Drosophila melanogaster: one gene and its partners. The protein of the gene in region 1 interacts with the protein of each later gene in a pairwise test. Each region holds a gene or a part of one and is shown on either strand. Other genes may lie near its edges.

Evidence for each region.
Region 2: the proteins of Tango11 (region 1) and CG4069 interact in a two-hybrid assay, tested with the Drosophila melanogaster proteins (one large-scale study listed by BioGRID).
Region 3: the proteins of Tango11 (region 1) and Acp26Aa interact in a two-hybrid assay, tested with the Drosophila melanogaster proteins (one large-scale study listed by BioGRID).

What each region holds. Positions count from the first base shown.
Region 1 is NT_033778.4:21,716,136-21,723,221, reverse strand, and holds Tango11 (transport and golgi organization 11), read left to right. Parts: upstream 1-3,258; 5' UTR 3,259-3,367; intron 3,368-3,376; exon of another isoform or gene 3,377-3,538; 5' UTR 3,539-3,586; coding exon 3,587-4,141; intron 4,142-4,389; exon of another isoform or gene 4,390-4,487; coding exon of another isoform or gene 4,488-5,291; exon of another isoform or gene 5,292-5,463; coding exon of another isoform or gene 5,464-5,466; intron 5,467-5,525; coding exon 5,526-5,804; 3' UTR 5,805-6,442; downstream 6,443-7,086. Other genes in the region: LBR (lamin B receptor), read right to left, coding at 1-1,364, 1,895-2,320; CG30398 (uncharacterized protein), read right to left, coding at 4,488-5,291. UniProt on the Drosophila melanogaster protein: May play a role in mitochondrial and peroxisomal fission.
Region 2 is NT_037436.4:12,534,060-12,539,645, reverse strand, and holds CG4069 (uncharacterized protein), read left to right. Parts: upstream 1-2,330; 5' UTR 2,331-2,423; coding exon 2,424-2,537; intron 2,538-2,601; coding exon 2,602-2,907; intron 2,908-2,965; coding exon 2,966-3,386; intron 3,387-3,445; coding exon 3,446-4,134; 3' UTR 4,135-4,220; downstream 4,221-5,586. Other genes in the region: sowah (sosondowah), read left to right, coding at 1-24, 1,070-1,096, 1,158-1,831; Pmm2 (phosphomannomutase type 2), read right to left, coding at 4,227-4,991; CG34242 (uncharacterized protein), read right to left, coding at 5,403-5,579.
Region 3 is NT_033779.5:5,891,402-5,896,272, forward strand, and holds Acp26Aa (accessory gland protein 26Aa), read right to left. Parts: upstream 2,496-4,871; 5' UTR 2,471-2,495; coding exon 2,437-2,470; intron 2,381-2,436; coding exon 1,620-2,380; 3' UTR 1,482-1,619; downstream 1-1,481. Other genes in the region: Acp26Ab (accessory gland protein 26Ab), read right to left, coding at 1,103-1,344, 1,406-1,436. UniProt on the Drosophila melanogaster protein: Male seminal protein which enhances ovulation in female Drosophila by stimulating the release of oocytes by the ovary following mating.

The DNA of each region.
Region 1 (7,086 bases):
TTGGTGACCGCCGTCAGCAGATATGGAGTGGCTGCGTAGCGCAGGAGCAGCAAACAGCCGTAGCCTTCGTGTTGCAGCTCAAAGGATGAGCTCAAGTGGTGCTCGAAAATAATGGCGTCCAATACGTAGAACAGCAAGCAGCTGGCCGAGAACAGGGTGGCAGGATCATAATTTACATTGTTCCAGTAGTATTTGGCCTGGTAGAGATAGCCCTCCTGTTCACCCAGCTGCGGCTTCTGGGGCCACACGAGCGTCTGGTAGATGTAGCAGGTGGCATAGATCAAGGTGGTCACCAGGGAGAGACGGTACTGAAACTGTTTCCAATCCACGCGTCCTAGCCACTTGGGATTGAGCTGTCTGCCCAGCGCGAAGTCCACCACAAAGCTGCCAGTCCTGCCATAATCATTGGTCAGCGTTTGGCGCAGCACATTGTACTTGGCGGTGTCCACCAGCCAGTAGCTCCAAGCAGCTGCCACAAAGGCGCCAACGAGTCCAAAGATGCAGAAACGCAGATAGTGACGCAGAACGAAGGTGACCACTGGATACTTCAGATACTCGGCCACTCCACTGGCAATCAAAAGCGTAAGCGAAACTGCTAGACAATTAAACTTGTAGGTCTCGCGGGTGAGATGAACCCTTCGTCCTGGTAGCAGTGCCACCAGCAGAAATACCACCACCTGATAGGCGGCAAAGGCACCCACCACTCGTGGCTGGAACACCTGGCGCGTTAGGTAGTTAACATCCAGTAGTATACCCAGATTGAGGTGCTTAAACTGACAGGCGTTTCTGGCCGTACAGCTCCATGTCAAATAGTAGACGGCGGTGGGCAGAAGTAGCAGGAACAGGAAGGCGCCTAGCCAACCGCCAAATTCTCTAGGAGCCTTCAACTGACGGCAGGATATTTCCGCCGGTGTGGCCGATTTACGGGTTACATTGAAACTACGGAACTGATCCTCCTCCAATTCATCCTCCTCATCAATATCCTCTTCACCCGTAGAGTAACTACGCTTGGAGGACTTCTCATCGTCGTAGACGGATCGGGACACACTCCTACTATAACGACTGCCCTCTTCGGTGTTTGTCACTGGTGTTCCAGCTAGATTTGAGATTGTCTTCGACACCGATCTGCGCAGTCGTTCGGTTATGCGTTTGCGAATGGAATCCGTGTCCACCTCGCCGTCTCCCTCGGCACGGATCTCGATGCGCTCCGTGGTTGTGGTGGTGCTGCTGGTAGTGGTACGGCTGAAGCTGTTGCCGCTGTTCACGGAGCTTGTGTTAAATGCTTTGTTCGGTGCGCCGCTGGATGTGTTGGTGGTCAATGTCATGGGCAGATTGCTGGTTGACAAACGAATAGGCGATGATACCTGTAATTTAAGATCATAAGTAAAGATGTAATAAGTGATAAAACAAAGTCAGAAACTATATAACCTTAGAAGAATATACAAAGGGACATGATTGTACAAAAATATGTGGGTACTCAAAACTGGGTTAAAGGTGTTTTGAGTACACTTATCAGATTCCCCTCTATTTTTGTAATCAGCAGTTTAGCTCAACAATTACAAATCCGTTATCTTAGCCCGGAATTTCCTTATGGTAGCATATGAGGGCAGAACTCTAAGCTGATAAGCAGGGCGGTGGGTGCTGCTTATCAGCTTCATAAAACACACAGAAACAGAAGCTCGAAATTTGTAATAAAGGTAGGACAGTTACAGTTAATTATGTAGTTTAATTGGTTGTAACGATCGAAATTAAATAGAACTAATATTTCGCTATGCTTTTATATTGAAAGCAATTGATTTCAAAATTCTAAACTGCTGATGGTTGGAATACTGATCAAATATAGCTAAGCACTTATCCACCGGCCAGCAAAACTGGTTTGTGCTGGAGAACTCACCTCGGAAACCTCTGGGATGGGTGTGCGTGCCTTGATGGCGGCCTTGATGGGCAGCGAGGAACCAGATCCCGATCCGGTCAGCGGACCCACCGACGACCTCGGCCGGCTGGAGCGACGGGTGCGCGGGCCAAGATCGGGCGAGGGCGGTGCGACGACCTTGTTGCGTGACGGGGAGGCACGTGTCCGGGTGGCGGGACCAGCGGTGGCGGTGGCGGTGGCGGTGGCACCCGCAGCTGTCACGGAGCCCGTACGTCGGGTCACCGGCAGGAGGCTGGGCTGCTTGGACTGGGCCAGAAGTGGACCGCTGGACACGTCTTCCGTGCGACGCGGGCGTCTCAGGCGTCGATCCATGGTGTATGAATTGCGGTCGAAAAAACGTGCTGCAAAATGGATATGATCAGTCGTTGTGCTCGGCGAGTGCTGCATGTTATTTATAGTTTACAAAATACACACAATCTATTAATGTACTTAAGTAACGCTGTGGTTTTCTCTAGTTTCTTTGCTTTCTTTATTTCTCTAATTTTCTGTATTTATTTGTGTTTGCGCGCCGAAAGGAAAAGCGACGTCGCTGCCGCAACTGTACATTCCGCAGGCAGCGACGCTGGCAGAACGCGCTCTCTCTCTTGCTCTCTTCCTCTTGGCTGGCAGTTTTTAAACGATGTTTAACTTAGCTTAAACAGCTTTTAACGCTTCACAACTTAGTAACTCACTTCTGATGGGATTTATTTGTAGTTTTTCACTTTATGGGGCTATTGAAACGCCGTAAATTCAGCATAAATCACTTGATAAAAAAGACGCGCGTCTAGTTGTCGGCGGATGAGAAAATTTTGTTGTAAAATGAGCGCGGCCCACTGCGTTGGTATTTTTCAGTGTTGGCTAACGCCGAACGGCGCCTAACAGCACGCAGCGTGTCGTTAACAGTGGTTTAGTGGGCACTTTAAGACAATTTAAAATGTATTCAAGGTTAATTATTTTAAAGTATTAAAAGTACTTGTACTTATTTTTACATTCCCTTAAACATTAATCGAACCATACCAATGCGCAAGTATTATAAATCGATAGAAAACTTTTTGGAGTATTTGATCTTTGCAAAGACTAACAGTACTCATTTTATTTACATATGTAGGTTATAAAGACCAAAGTTGTCGCTTAAATCGAGTTGTAAATTATTTGTTCAAGACAGAAGAATACCGCAAACTTTTCAAGAAACAAAAACATATTAATAAAATGAATCAAAACAACTGAAATAACTTCTTAAATACCTAGTTTTCTACTGATATTGAGGTAGATAATTAATTTGGCTAAAAAGGAGCTAGAGTGCCGGATCTGTAGAGTGGAAGTAGAGTGACTGTCATTCCTGGTATTATTTAGCACATTCTATATCAATCTCCTCACACACATAACAAAAGGCAGGAGAAAAATTGTAAATTATTACGGATTTCTCGGACATTTTTCTGTCATTTCCCGAGCAATGTAAGTAGAAAGCATTCGAAAAACCCAATACGCAACAAACACACGCACACAAGCCGGACGAAAATGTTGCGCTTGCCAAATTCTGGTTATTAATTTGTTATGAAAACGTCTCTCTCACGGCCGCCTTCTACCTAAAAAAAAAAAATTGGACAAACAACGAAAAACCAAAAGCAAGTGAGGCCCATTGGATCAGTTGAAAGGATTCCCCAGGACATCGCCATGGTGACCCCGCAATCGCCGACGCCCATGTTCAATGGATTGGACGATGATCTCTACAGCGACGCCAAATATGCCCACGAGATTAACGACAAGATGCGGGTTCCCAAAAGAATAAAGGCCACCGGGGAGTATTCCAACGAGGATCTGCTGCTGTCCAACCAGAACGGGATGATCAGCTCCTGGAACTATCACGACAAGATCGACATGAATGTACCGGATCGAATTGTGGTCCTGGGCCACAATCAGCATCTGGAGACGCGATCTGCTCCGCGGGAAATCCAGCTGGAGAACTCCATTCTGCCCAAGAACCCATCGGTCGGATTGGTGCGCGTCCAGACGCCACCGCGCATTATCACCCTCACCGATCAACACTTTCCCTCGGCCTCCGAGGAGAGCTCGCCCATCCGGGCCAATGGTCATCATTTGTATGGTAATGATCTCGACGAGGACGCCGACGATGAGGAGGTCCATGCCACCCAATATGTGCGTGCCAATGGAGTCGCCCGTATGGGATTTCAAGGCAATGACACCAATTCCGTTGAATCGGACTCGCAGGTGAGTAAAATATGCCATACAAGCAACAATTTTCCTTTAGTTTTTCAATTCAATTGCAAGTGCTTGTAAATTAAATCGATGGGCAGAATGAGCAACTCTGTGATTTCTGTTAAAGAGCACTTCATTTGATGGAAGTCTAGACCCTAGCGATCCACACATGACGCAATAAAACAACCAAAATTGTTAATAGATAATAGATAGATAGCGATCACACTGCGCTTGCCACCCATTCAGTTTGCAAAGAGATTACCATGCCTGCTGGTTTTTATTGAATTCCTAATACGGCTTTGATAAGACGGCTGACCCAATTTCCATCGACTGTGTGGAAACACACTCTCACTTTTTGTTAATCGCTGGAGTAGCCGTGTGCCTCCGGTCGATCCTCGCCCTCCTGTGTATCCTTAAGGCGCCTCGCAAAAGGACGACACTTCCAGATGTCCACCTCGGTGGCCAGGCACTTGCGAAAATCGAAATCGCACAGACCCAAACTGTACGAACCCTCCATGGGCTCGAAGTAGTGAAGGCCACGGCCAATCTTAATGACCACTCCCGAGCTAAGAACGATCTTGCGATCGTGCAAACTGTCGTCCATCTGGAAATTCATCTGGATGTTGCCACCGGCCAGATCGCTCTGCATTTGCTGCAGCATCTGCAACTGATTCTTGGGCGCCGTCGCATCTGGGCGCGTAGTGAGGCGAATATACTTTAGATAGCGACAGTTCTTGACCAGCACCTCGAAAAAGTTAAGCAAATTCCTAAAGTGTGGTGGCTCCGTGAGGTGTGGCTCGTTGAGATGGGCCTCCCGAACCGCATCGTCCAAATACGGACCAAACAGCCGCTGGTAGCTTCTGCCCCTGGCACCCTGCTCGATGGTGATGTGATCCAGCATACGGCTGGTGTGCAAGTGACCCTTGACCTGATCCCTCAGCTGTTTGGCCCGCGCCTCGTACATCTTCAAATACTTCCCACACAGCTGGCGGCGACTCGGCTCCGCATCGGCCATCTGGGACAATTTGAAGATGCTCTCCTCGTAGAGTAGTATCGCCTCCATAATGTGACCCGTCTGCTCGCATTTCAGCGCGCTGATTATCGCCTCCAGTTTCGGCAGCTCGCCATCATCCACTTCTGCTACGTTGGGACTGGTTGTCATTGCTGGGATCGAAAGAAATTGGTTGGCTATACAGAAAATTTCGAGTTGGGCGTTTTTTTTTTTTTCGAATGTTTATTGCTTATATTGACACCGGAAATATTTGGGGGAGCTCTGAAAAATGACTCTTGCTTCACATTGATAACAGAAAACTTTCACAAAGCAAACACTTAACATGGTACACACATCTAAATCCTATTTGGCGCAACTTATCTTTGACTACCTTATGTGTTCCAGTTGACCACAGGCAGTGCCAGCAAGCGCTCGCAGCTGAATCAACAGCAGCACAACAACCTGGATGCCTCAATGCTGGCGCACCGAGAGGGCACGCCCATGGGCGAGCTGACGCCCCACGAGGAGATCCTGTATCTGAGACGCCAGCTGGCCAAGCTGAATCGCCGGGTGCTGAACATCGAGATCAACAATGAACAGCGCACGCAGCGGGAGAAGATCGTCTACTGTCTGGGCCTGGCCTACTTCGTTCTCAAGACAATATTCTGGCTGAATCGCAACTAGACGCAATGTAGAGCCCACTATGATGGTTAGCGATCTGCGCTGGGTGCCAAGACAACCACCTTGCTATGGACACCCTTTTTGGAACAGCTTCTTTCGTTTCTTGACTTTTGTGTTTCTTTTGTGGAAAGGCTCTGAGAGAGACTTTGTTTTTTGTTTGCCATAATTTTGTAGACTAAGCTCCGTAATAAATAAGCGCAACATCGTTCTGTTTTGTACACCGTGGAAAACGAAAAAAACAAAGGCCCCCATACTTAATTTGTAAGATCTGGCACTTAAGGAGCGTGTATCTAAATCTAAGCTTTAATCTCTACGTGTTTCATCTGAGCAGCCCCCAACACGAATCCGAATCATCACAGCAGCATTGCATTGAAAAGATATTGTTTAAAAGGGTTGTTTATATTTTAGATCTGTTAACATTTGATAATCCCAAAGTGAAAACAAGAACTTTAATGGTATTTGTATGCGAAATCCCATACGATAAATAGTTAAATATATACATAAATATAATATTATACACTAAATCCCACAGAAATCATTGCATTGATTTTTGCATAACTAGCGGAAACGAAGGAAATCCATTTAGAGTGTAGCATGAATTCATAACGATATTTAAAATAAAACGTTTAAAGTACCAAAACAAACCATATGCTTCGTTAATTTTCTACCAGGAAATAAGTAGATTTCGGTTTTCAACGCATTTAAAAAATGTATTTATTTTAATTTGTTGGTTTTCTCTTTAAATAGTACGTATAGTAATCAATTAAAACTACCGATTAAATGCAATTACATCTGCTTGTCTCATCTAACTTCCGACTTCCTCTTCTGCTATACATCTTTAGCTAACAAGACGTTAAACATTAAGTTTAATGCAAAATGACGAAAAGACCTGAGCGAAATTTCGTTCGATTCATTTGCGGTGTGTGTATTGTTTTTCGTGTATTTTGTCTGTGAAGTGGATTGTTTCTTTCCCTTTTGCCACCCGATCTTCGATCAATCGCTATCATCCAACTACTTAGAGAACAAGATGCAATTGTTTGTATCTTTTTATTTATAATGGAATTATCGTTTACTTTACACAAATAATATGCAAGGGGACTACTTTTCTCTTTCATTTTCCGAACGACTCGCCTTTCCAGGCGAAACGCCGCAGGATCGAAAAAAAAAACACCTCAACGCACATCCTGCTAATCTTATTTCTTCTCCTTTCCTGCCGGTTGTCCTCTTCTTTGTATATGGGCATTATAAAATAAACGACTACTATAAACTTAAAAACTCGTGTGTA
Region 2 (5,586 bases), on another chromosome or scaffold:
TATTTACTAACCCACCGGAGCACGGTTAATTGCTATCCTAAAATCTATCCTAAACATTGCGCTAATGTATACTACTTATATGTATGTCAAAACAATGTTACAACAATTGGTTGGGGCTGTACTATATTATACATTCTATATACTTTTAAACTGTAACTGATCCGGTATCGGTATCTACATATCTATGAAATTTTGTATAATCACTAAACTTTACTAGCTTTTAAGTACCAAAGCATGGCCTTAATATAGTATATATTTTTTTACCAAGGTGTATTAACTTAATGTAAGCAATCACACTTTTGTGTACATAAATATTTATAAATAATCGCATGTGTATCGCAAGGAAAAACACAATAAACTACTGGCCCCTTAAAAACAAAAGCATTAATTTATAAATAAGTACTATAATCCTAAAAAAAATTAACTAAGTTTACAAAGAGAATGCGCTTTGGGAGATAATAATAATTTACCCTCGTTTGCAAACATCCATCAAACTTACTGAAATGTAGAGCATACAAACCCCAAATCGACTCAGTAATTAATGTCAGTAAATGGGATCCAATCTATCTATCTATCTATCTATTTTCGATTTTGCTGCATGTAGAGATACAAGCGATGCGATTCAGCGGCGGACTCAACGGAACGTGGAGGCAGGTTGAGATCTAACGATCTTGAGTATTTCAAAACCCTTAGTGTTGATTTTGTGCGATGTTCAATTTATTTTGCTAGCTTTACGTTGAATTAGCCACATTAGCTTTTATATATTTAGCCTGTATATATATATATATATTATTTGCTTTTTGTACTTTGGTAGCTTTAAAACTTGTATTTTAGTTATATTTTGCTAGCATTTGAGTTGCATTTCCCGTTTGCGTTGCCAATTTGGTAAGTTTTCTTTGTATTATTTTCAATGTTTATGCTCATCGCTCGCATTATTTTATAATTGTTTCCAAAAAGTCCGCTAACCAAAGGCAATATTTTTCAGTTTATGCACGTTCATTTGAATATTGATTAATATAAAAAAATGAATAAATATTAATGAAATTTCTTTGTTTTGTCCACTTTGCAGAAATCAAGGCTCGCAAAAAGCATGCAAGTAAGTCACTCTTAAATGCAAATGAAATTTTATGACTAAGTATAATATTTTTCCATTGCAGTCGAAAAAGATTTGGGCTTCCTACGGATTGGTTCTCTGAATGTCCGGGTAAAGAAGACCACCGAGGCGTTCAGCAACTTCTTGGGAGTGGGCAATGGCAGTGGGGTGGCGCCGACGGGCTATGGCAATGGCGGGTCGGCGGTAGCAGCAAATCGCCATCACCCTCGATCTCACCGAGCCCCTCATCAGCGTCATCATCACCACGTTGGTACGACACGGAGTCGCCATCCGAATCAGAGGGCAGCGATGAGCACACCCTATGCCACGAACGGCGGCCTTCCGTCGAGGGCGAGTGTGCCCAATAGCCGGAACATCTACGATGGGGTGCACAAGTCGTGGGGATCGGCGGACAATATACCGCATCGATCGGAGGACCTAATGCCGCCGCCCAAGGCGGTGGAGTATATCAGCAAGCGGAATAAGTCCTCGAAGCGTTCGTCCTATGCATCGAATACCACCGATTCGCCGCGTGATTCCATCTGCTCCTCGAACTCCAGCTCGAATCTGAATGGTGGCTATAGCAGCATGCCTACGACCCCGAATCAGTTGCGTGCTCCCAAGGGGATCGCCGCATCCTTCGCCGTGGACTCCGACTCGGACTCCGCCTGCGGATTCGACTCAACCTGGTCGGTCAATTGTCGCGGTTCCTCGAGCAGCAATCCTTCGCAATCCTAATTACCTGAATATTGTTGTTAGCACAGTCTACATACCACCATACAACTTTTAACATTGACCATGGAATCGTGAAAGTATTTGTTTTTCAATTAACTAATATATATACTTTAAGCATTGACCATTATTTAGACGTTACATTTTCTTGTGTTTGTATCTAAAAGTTTGTATCTTAAAAGTATCCAACATTTGTTATTTCCTATTTTGTGCCCTTTTCTAGGGACATCCAATATAATGTTTCATTTAATATGTGTATTTTTTAATCGAAAATAAAGCTTGTATGCTTTTTAATGCATTTATGAATTAATTGTATTGATATTTTATTTGTTATTACTCATAATACAAATTTACCCGAATTTATTTTTAAATATCCAAATCTCAATATTTTGAGCAAAAAATTCAGAATTTAAATTTTTTCGTTGCGCGCGCACTTTTCAAAAATAACCGTTAAGACATTTCTCATAATACCGTCGAAAATACTGAAAATATGGTAAACTAGAAGACAGCTCTTCCTCTTCTCTTATTTATAAACGCTACACGTGCGGCAAAAAAAGTTTGTTGATTTAAATTTTTGAGCTGAAATAAAACACTTGACATGGGCAAAAAGGACAAAAACAAGAAGAAGGGCAAAGGGGCCGAGAAAACGGCCATGAAAACGGACAAAAAGCAGGCGGCGCGGCAGAAGAAAATGCTGGAAAAACTGGGAGAAGTACGAACAAAAAAATGCAATAACCATAACATTATGTTTACTAAACGAATAATAAACTTCACAGGCAAATATAGCTGATATCATCCAATTGCTGGAGGCCAAGGAGGGCAAGATTGAAGCCATCAGTGAATCCGTTTGCCCGCCACCAACTCCACGATCCAATTTCACCTTAGTTTGCCATCCGGAAAAGGAGGAGCTCATCATGTTTGGCGGCGAACTGTACACTGGCACAAAAACCACAGTGTATAACGATTTGTTCTTTTACAACACCAAAACCGTCGAGTGGAGGCAGCTGAAATCGCCATCGGGACCCACGCCCAGAAGTGGACACCAAATGGTGGCTGTGGCCAGCAATGGAGGAGAACTCTGGGTAAGTTATCAGCTAAAGAGATCTCCGTGAAAAGTTAATTACCATATGCACTCTACAGATGTTTGGTGGCGAGCATGCCAGTCCCTCACAGCTGCAGTTCCATCACTACAAGGATCTCTGGAAGTTCGCACTGAAATCCCGCAAATGGGAGAGGATAGCTGCGCCCAATGGACCAAGTCCTCGGAGCGGACATCGAATGACCGTCTCCAAGAAACGCCTGTTCATCTTCGGTGGCTTTCACGACAACAATCAGTCGTATCATTACTTCAATGATGTTCACATCTTCTCTTTGGAATCCTATCAGTGGCTTAAAGCGGAGATAGGAGGTGCAATTGTGCCATCTCCACGTTCCGGTTGCTGTATTGCAGCTTCTCCGGAGGGAAAGATCTACGTGTGGGGCGGTTACTCGAGGGCCGCCATGAAGAAGGAGGCGGACAGAGGAGTAACACACACGGATATGTTTGTCTTGAGTCAAGATAGTAAGATTTAGAATCTCTGATTTATATTACTTATATTAATATCTCCTGTTTCCGTTCAGAAAACGCCGGCGATGCAGACAACAAGTACAAGTGGGCACCCGTGAAACCAGGTGGATATAAGCCCAAGCCGCGTAGCAGCGTCGGCTGCACTGTGGCTGCGAATGGCAAGGCCTATACCTTCGGTGGCGTTATGGACGTCGATGAGGACGACGAAGATGTGCACGGACAGTTCGGCGATGATCTCCTGGCCTTCGATTTGACCTCCCAAACATGGAGATTGCAGGAGATCCAAACTAAAAGCAGCAGCGCTGAGAAAAAGGATTCGGAGGAGAGCAAAGATGTGGAGATGTCGGCTGTTGATAAGCCAGTGACCACCACCACGGATGGCATTTTCACGGTCACCGTTGGCGGTCCCAGTACCAGTACCACGCCATTCGTGTCCAAAATACCCAGCCTATTCGCCAAACCCAAGCCGACGAATGTGCCATCTCCGCGCATGAATCCCGGCATGTGCGTGTGCAAGGGAACGCTGTATATTTTCGGTGGCATCTTCGAAGAGGACGACAAGCAGTTGACCTACAACGATTTCTACGCCCTGGACTTGCACAAACTGGAATGGAAGGTGCTAATCCCCAATAGCTTGAAGGGCCACGAATGGGAGGATAGCGACAGCAGCAGCTCCGACGAGGAGTGCAGTGGCAGCGAGGAGGATATCTCCAGCAGCAGCTCGGACATGGACACGGATTAAGAATTTCCAGTGACTATATATTAAATTTGGTTAACAATTGTACACATGTATAAAAATGGAATATTTTCAACTGCTGAGTAAGCTCGAAATTCTCACAGCTCCAGAATCTCGGTGAGAATGCGTTGCGTATCCTTGGGAGTATATACCCTATGGCTGATGGTTCGAGGATCGCTATAGATCTCATAGTCATTGCCGCCCGGCTCCGTTTTATCGCCAAAGAAGTGGATTTCCTTGAACTTGTAGTGCGCTTCGATGTGTCGCAGGCAGTAGGTCTTGTCCCAACCATGCGGGAAGACATCGAAGCTGATCTGACCACCAATCGAGTACGTGAGATCCACATCGGCAAACTCCTGCTTCAGGTCCTTGATCATTTTCTCGCGCACCTTGTGCTCAATGTCGTACTCGGCGAACATGTTGCGCTCCTCCCGAGTGCACTGCCTGCCAATGGGACAAACGTTCATCATGCCATTCCGGAATTCGATAAAGGTGCCCCTCTTGATGGGCACATCCAGTTCGGACAGATAGCGCAGCACAAAGTTGATGAAACGCTTCACCGTCTCCTCGCCCAAATGCATGATGATATTCTGCTTTCCCACCTCCTTTCCGCCCTCAATCTGCACCAGCCCATTTTCCGGGAATATGAAGTCGAACTCGTTGAGTATCTTCCTGCCATTCAGCTGCTCGAACATCTTCTCCAGATCCGAGCCTCCGACGATTCCGATGGTCGCCCTCGGCTTAACCCGCGAGTAGAAGAACTCCTCGAACTCCGGAGTGACCACGGATCTGGGCATCGTTAACGTGCCGTCCACGTCGAAGAGCAGCAGGATTTCATCACGCTTCAATGCGGCGGTGGTCATTTTGCATTTAAATTTTGTGGTAAATCAGCAGGTGTTTAATATCCAGATATTTATGTCCACGTATGATTCGAGATAAAGAATTTTACAAGCGGCAACGCAGTGGTGAGAAATCCCCTAAAGCTTTCGATGCACCGGCAAGGGGAACCAGTTCCGGAATCCAAGTGCAATCAAAATTAATGTTTTGAATTGCCTTTTACGTTAGGTTTACTATTTAAAACAATGAGAGTATAAACATTCAAGCACAATCATTTGGATTTTCCTGCATGTATAGGTAACAGTTTAATTCATGGAGTTCATGCTGTCAGGGTACAAATAGTTTCTATTTTAATAGCAATTTGTACATTGCAGTTCTTTATCAGGCAAACTAGAATACACATATTTGGGTTCTTAAGTGTAGCATAACAGGGGGTTCTACTGCCTTTTAATGTGCTGCAGTTCATCTCTCTTGATTTTGCTGTATTCCTGCAGGGTTTTGTATTTCTCAGTGTTAACCATGGGGTCCACAATGACGGGGTATAGGGTGAGGCCCACGGCGCCCACGATGCAGGACACGAATCCAACGAATCTCCAACCACGCAGGACTGCCATTTAGCTA
Region 3 (4,871 bases), on another chromosome or scaffold:
GCTCATATCATTTTTTTGTTTTTGTTTTTATGTTCATAATGGATTGTCATGTTCCTTAAATATAAATATCATTCTTGCAGTCAAGTATGTGTTTATATTAAATTTATTTCAGTCCATTTTCATGTTTGATTACGTGACACATTTACTGATTGCTACTCGTAAAAATGTTCTCGACTGCAAACAAAAAACCAGCAGAGACAAAAAGTTCGGCAGGATTTAAAGGTGTTATCTGGTTAATGAACTCTGGAAAGGATTAAGTCAGAAGATGGCCCACAAACTTTAGAGTATACATGGAAGAGATAGATTTTGAACATAACCCAAATTAAAAGTTCATTCGAAGCACATGATATTCAAATACCAGCAATAAAAGAGAAGAAATTTTCGTCTAAATATCATAAATTTGGGAAGCATTTGGAACTCAAGCAGCGAGAAAAGGGTTCGATCCTCCGACCGAAAGTATTCATAAATTTGTCAAACGAGACGCTCTCAAGCAGAGAAAGGTCATTTTAATAGCACGTAACACAACACTTTTACCTTTACAGAATTCCAGTTAAGGCCGAAATTCCACTCTACTTTTGTCGTGGAAATTAGGGCAGACGAACAAATCACCACGGGGACCACAGGTAGCTAAAAGCAGGTAAATGTCGGCCAAAAACCAAAAGAACCTGACCAAATGTATAAACTATGTTAAAGAGGCGCCACAGTATCGCATATTACTGATCCCATATTTGTGAAAGTTGAGCTAGACGAATCTTTATGACCCACAGGTCGAGTTTATGTCTAAAATGTATTTTATATTTATGTCCTTTCGTCTGCATTTATATGTATAACATTTTATATGTATAACTACAAATACCATATACCCCACTCTATATTTCAAATACAATTTTATCACAGCTTTGGAAAATATCGGAACTCTTATTTCAAAAGCTTCTTAGAGTCCATGTCCATTATAATATGGTAAATACTTTATTTGGGTTATTATATCTTTTAAATGATATATTACATATTGCATAGATACATAATATTTTGCTTGAAGTAACTGCGGTTAAAAAGCATATGCAATAATCGCTGTTTAAGATATTTGCTGGTGAATCCAAAATTATGCCATGTTCAGTTGCTGGCGCACACTCTCTATTTCATCAGGACTCATGACATCCGAGTTGAAGTCTGCTTTGTGAGTTTGTATCAAATGCCCAGTCGCATCGTTCACACTATCCTGAACACTGTAGTCGTATAGGGTTCTCAACATGCCATTCATCACTTTCTGGGATCTTGATTGTGAACTAGACTGAACGCTTATAAAGGGGGCAGCATCGCTAAATTGCCAAAGGCAAATGCAGGCTAAGTGATGAAAACTAAATTAGGCAAACTCTAAGAACCTCGAAGATCCTTACGAACTTACAGAAAATGCAGATCACCGCGAAGTAGTTCATTGTGGAAACGTATTCTCTAGACTGTAAAGAATCCAACCAGCACTTGGCCTAAGCGTTATGAATCGCATTTATTACGGCTAACAAGATCAGAAAAATAAGTAAGTGCGCAATTAGAAGGTCTTGCAATGACTCAATACTATTGTTTCTGTTCTTAAATGATGGGAAACCATATGATTTTAACTATTAAAGTGTTGGTAGATTCCCTTGGGAAGGATTTGTCTCCGTGGGTACATCGGTAGCGACTTTCGCGATTTCGTTATTGATCTTCTGACTAAGTTCTTTCAGAAGTGTTAGATATTTGTTACGGTAAGTGTTCCTGACGTTGGCTTCCTGAAACTGATTGGCGGCAGGTGGGGCGCTATCCTTACTAGAACGTTTCTTACACGGCTTTGTGGACTTTCGAGTGTTTTGCAGTTGCCCATTCAATTCCAAAAGTCTGCGGTTCACAGTATTTAGCTCGAGCTCTAAATCGAGGTTTAACTGTCGTACTTTGATAATATCCGTTTTTCTGGCCTCTATTTCTTTCATCAAGTATATGGAATGGTTCCGGAGAAGTAAACTATTGTTCTGCTCCGTTAGTAACCTCTGTTGCAGGGCCTTGAGCGCACTTTGATTGGATCCTTGATTTTTTTCTTTTGCCGGGAAATCATCTAGTCCTTTATTGAAAGGAATATTATTCAAGTCAATGGAAGAGCTTTTTAGTGATTTGGACCTATTGATTGGATAATCATCCAGCGGCAAATCAGAAATATCGATATCCATTATATAATCGCCCTTTTTCGCATCTTTCAGAGCTACATCATCTTTGGCTATTTTGGCCTGTGTCTCATCATTCTTGGGAGCAACATTTTTCAGAGATGCACTTTTCGTAGAATCACTTTTCAGGTGCATAGCTGAATCGAGTTGTTGCTCACTATCGCAGCTTGCCACTGTAAAAAGCAGCACTAAACGAAAAGATACTCGTTCTTAAATGTGCTCAAAAATGCATAAGTCAACTTACGTAAAATTGGAGAGCATAATAAAATCTGGTTCATTTCGAAGAAGTGGCTTCAGCTGAAGTAAGGTATTATTGCATTCCTTATATATACGAATTTCATGTTACATAAGCGCTTTTGCAACGGCTCTTGTTTCGTTCTGCTTGATATTTATAAATATGATCTTGTAGTATTGCAATTTTCAAAAAAAAAAAAAACATCATCAAAATATATAAATATTCGTTGAATATACATTTTAGTCCTGTAGTATTCTAGATATTAAGATATATACATTTTTCTGGCCTCCGGACGGATATCTTCGGTTTTTTTTATAAGATTCTTCTTGGCATCGGGTGCTTTAGTCGAGGCTAACAATTTTAAGACTTACGCAGTTCAAACAAATATACAAAGAAAAATGCCATAGTCGAGTATTTATTGAAATAATATATGTAAATATCAAATTCTTAGACAATCAATTTAACATGGTTTTCAACAATATAAAAGCGAGAAAAGTGTTGGTTTCTTTGAATTGCTGGTCGATTAAGGAAAATACCGTGTTAATTATACAAAATATGTTTTTACTATACCTTAAAATAGTTGCTATGTAGTTATAGATGCTGTACATAATTAATTACATAAAATCCGGCAATGTATATCTGAGATCATTGAAGTCACGATATATGTGTTACCGATGCAAACGCAATTCCCAAGCCAAATTAAAGAAAAATAAAAAAAAAGCAGATCATAAAAACGAACCATTGTCTTTAGCTAAAAGTGAAACTGCAATTGAAAAAACTTTCAGCATCCGCAGAGCGGCTAGAATGAGAAAAAATTATACTAAAATTTCGCCCACATGTCCACATATGTAAATTGAAAGGTTGCGCCTGCGCACGCGTCAAATTGAAAGCGAAATTGAACGTGGGATTCAGAAAACTGAGGCATGGCCATCTCGTGGGCGATCGGTCACTCTGTGAATCGTTTTGGATCCCCCATTTTGGGTAGGTGGCCACTGTTAATTGTTTAAAACATAGCGATTTATGCGCAAGTTGCTCGCATTTTGCGTGGTGTCTACGGAACGCTGCTTAAATGGCCGCTGCTTTCCACAAATGGTCAAAAGTCTTTATGCCTTGTAAATGCCTTGTAATCTTGGTCAAGAATGGTGTTATACGGACAGCAAACTGGAATTTACCTTAGAAGGAGAACGGAACCCAACATATTTTAGATAACTGCGCATTTAAAATTCAATTAAGTGGAAAAATTCATCAGCTAATCTTGATGAGAAATAAACTATTTAAAACTTAACCATACTATAATTTATATTCAAAAAGTAAATAGAACAAAGAAAATTTAACTAGTATGGCTTGAAATCTCAAATGCACATCTTACTATATGAAGTTATGATTATGTTTATTAACGTCGTTAGATGATTTTCATAGTAACTTTAAGATAGCCTTCTTTATTCCCAGTCACACCATTCGCATACAAATCTTATGTCTTATTTCTCATTTTGATTGCCGTATTATAATGACAGTGGCTCTGTGCATGCGACTCCCATTTGAAGCTCGCTTTCCACTGAAGTTTTCGGTTTCAATTTCCCATGGCAGCGCATCCCACTCGCAGCAGGCACACATATGTATTCATCACTACGATTTTCATCGCTTTTCAGCCCGAGTTCGAGCTGAGCTCACGCTTTCATTTGCGTTCGGAAAATGACCTACTTCCGGATTAGCATGCCCGGGCCACTTTTACTGTCGCTCGATCTGGAAAAGGGCGATGGATGGAGGGAATGGGATAGGGAATGGGAGCCATGGCATCGATGGGCACCGACCAGGGGCAGAAGCTAATGAGGTTGTCGCCGTTGTATCCACTTGATAATAAACATCCGCCGCGTTCCGCAGTGAGTAAGTGAGTGTTGCATGTTTGTTGCATTTAATTGTAATTTATTTTCCATCCCACAGAATGGACACGGCAAAGAACGGAAGCAAATATTTTCCGGTGGAAGCTGGCACAGCCAGCAGTTCCTGTACCATACCTTTTTGACCCTTTCCAGATATCAGTGATGCATTAATTGACTTTTCCTAGTGATCAACCATATCCTACCGTACTTAACTGACAGATTTTATTAGCTAAGTATATCAGACATGGAGAAGTTCACAGCTTCTGGTCTGATGCCCGAACAACATTTTCATCTTAAGTTAAAGCAGCCAAGGAATCTGCCCACTTGGGCAGATGACATCGAATGTAGTTCTTCGCTCGACTCCGCATTCGTCGGCTTTTGCTTAAAGGGAAAAATACCAAACAAAGGCAATTGCATTCGAGTGGATCGATCAGTGGTGGACCAGAATCAATGAACTCGAGGGAAGCCGGTGCAAATTGCTGGCTAATTTAGCCCAGCGCACGCGAAAAATGCGCAAAGAACGAGTTGCACTGCTGCCGACAAAAGGAAGCAGCCACTTCCTAT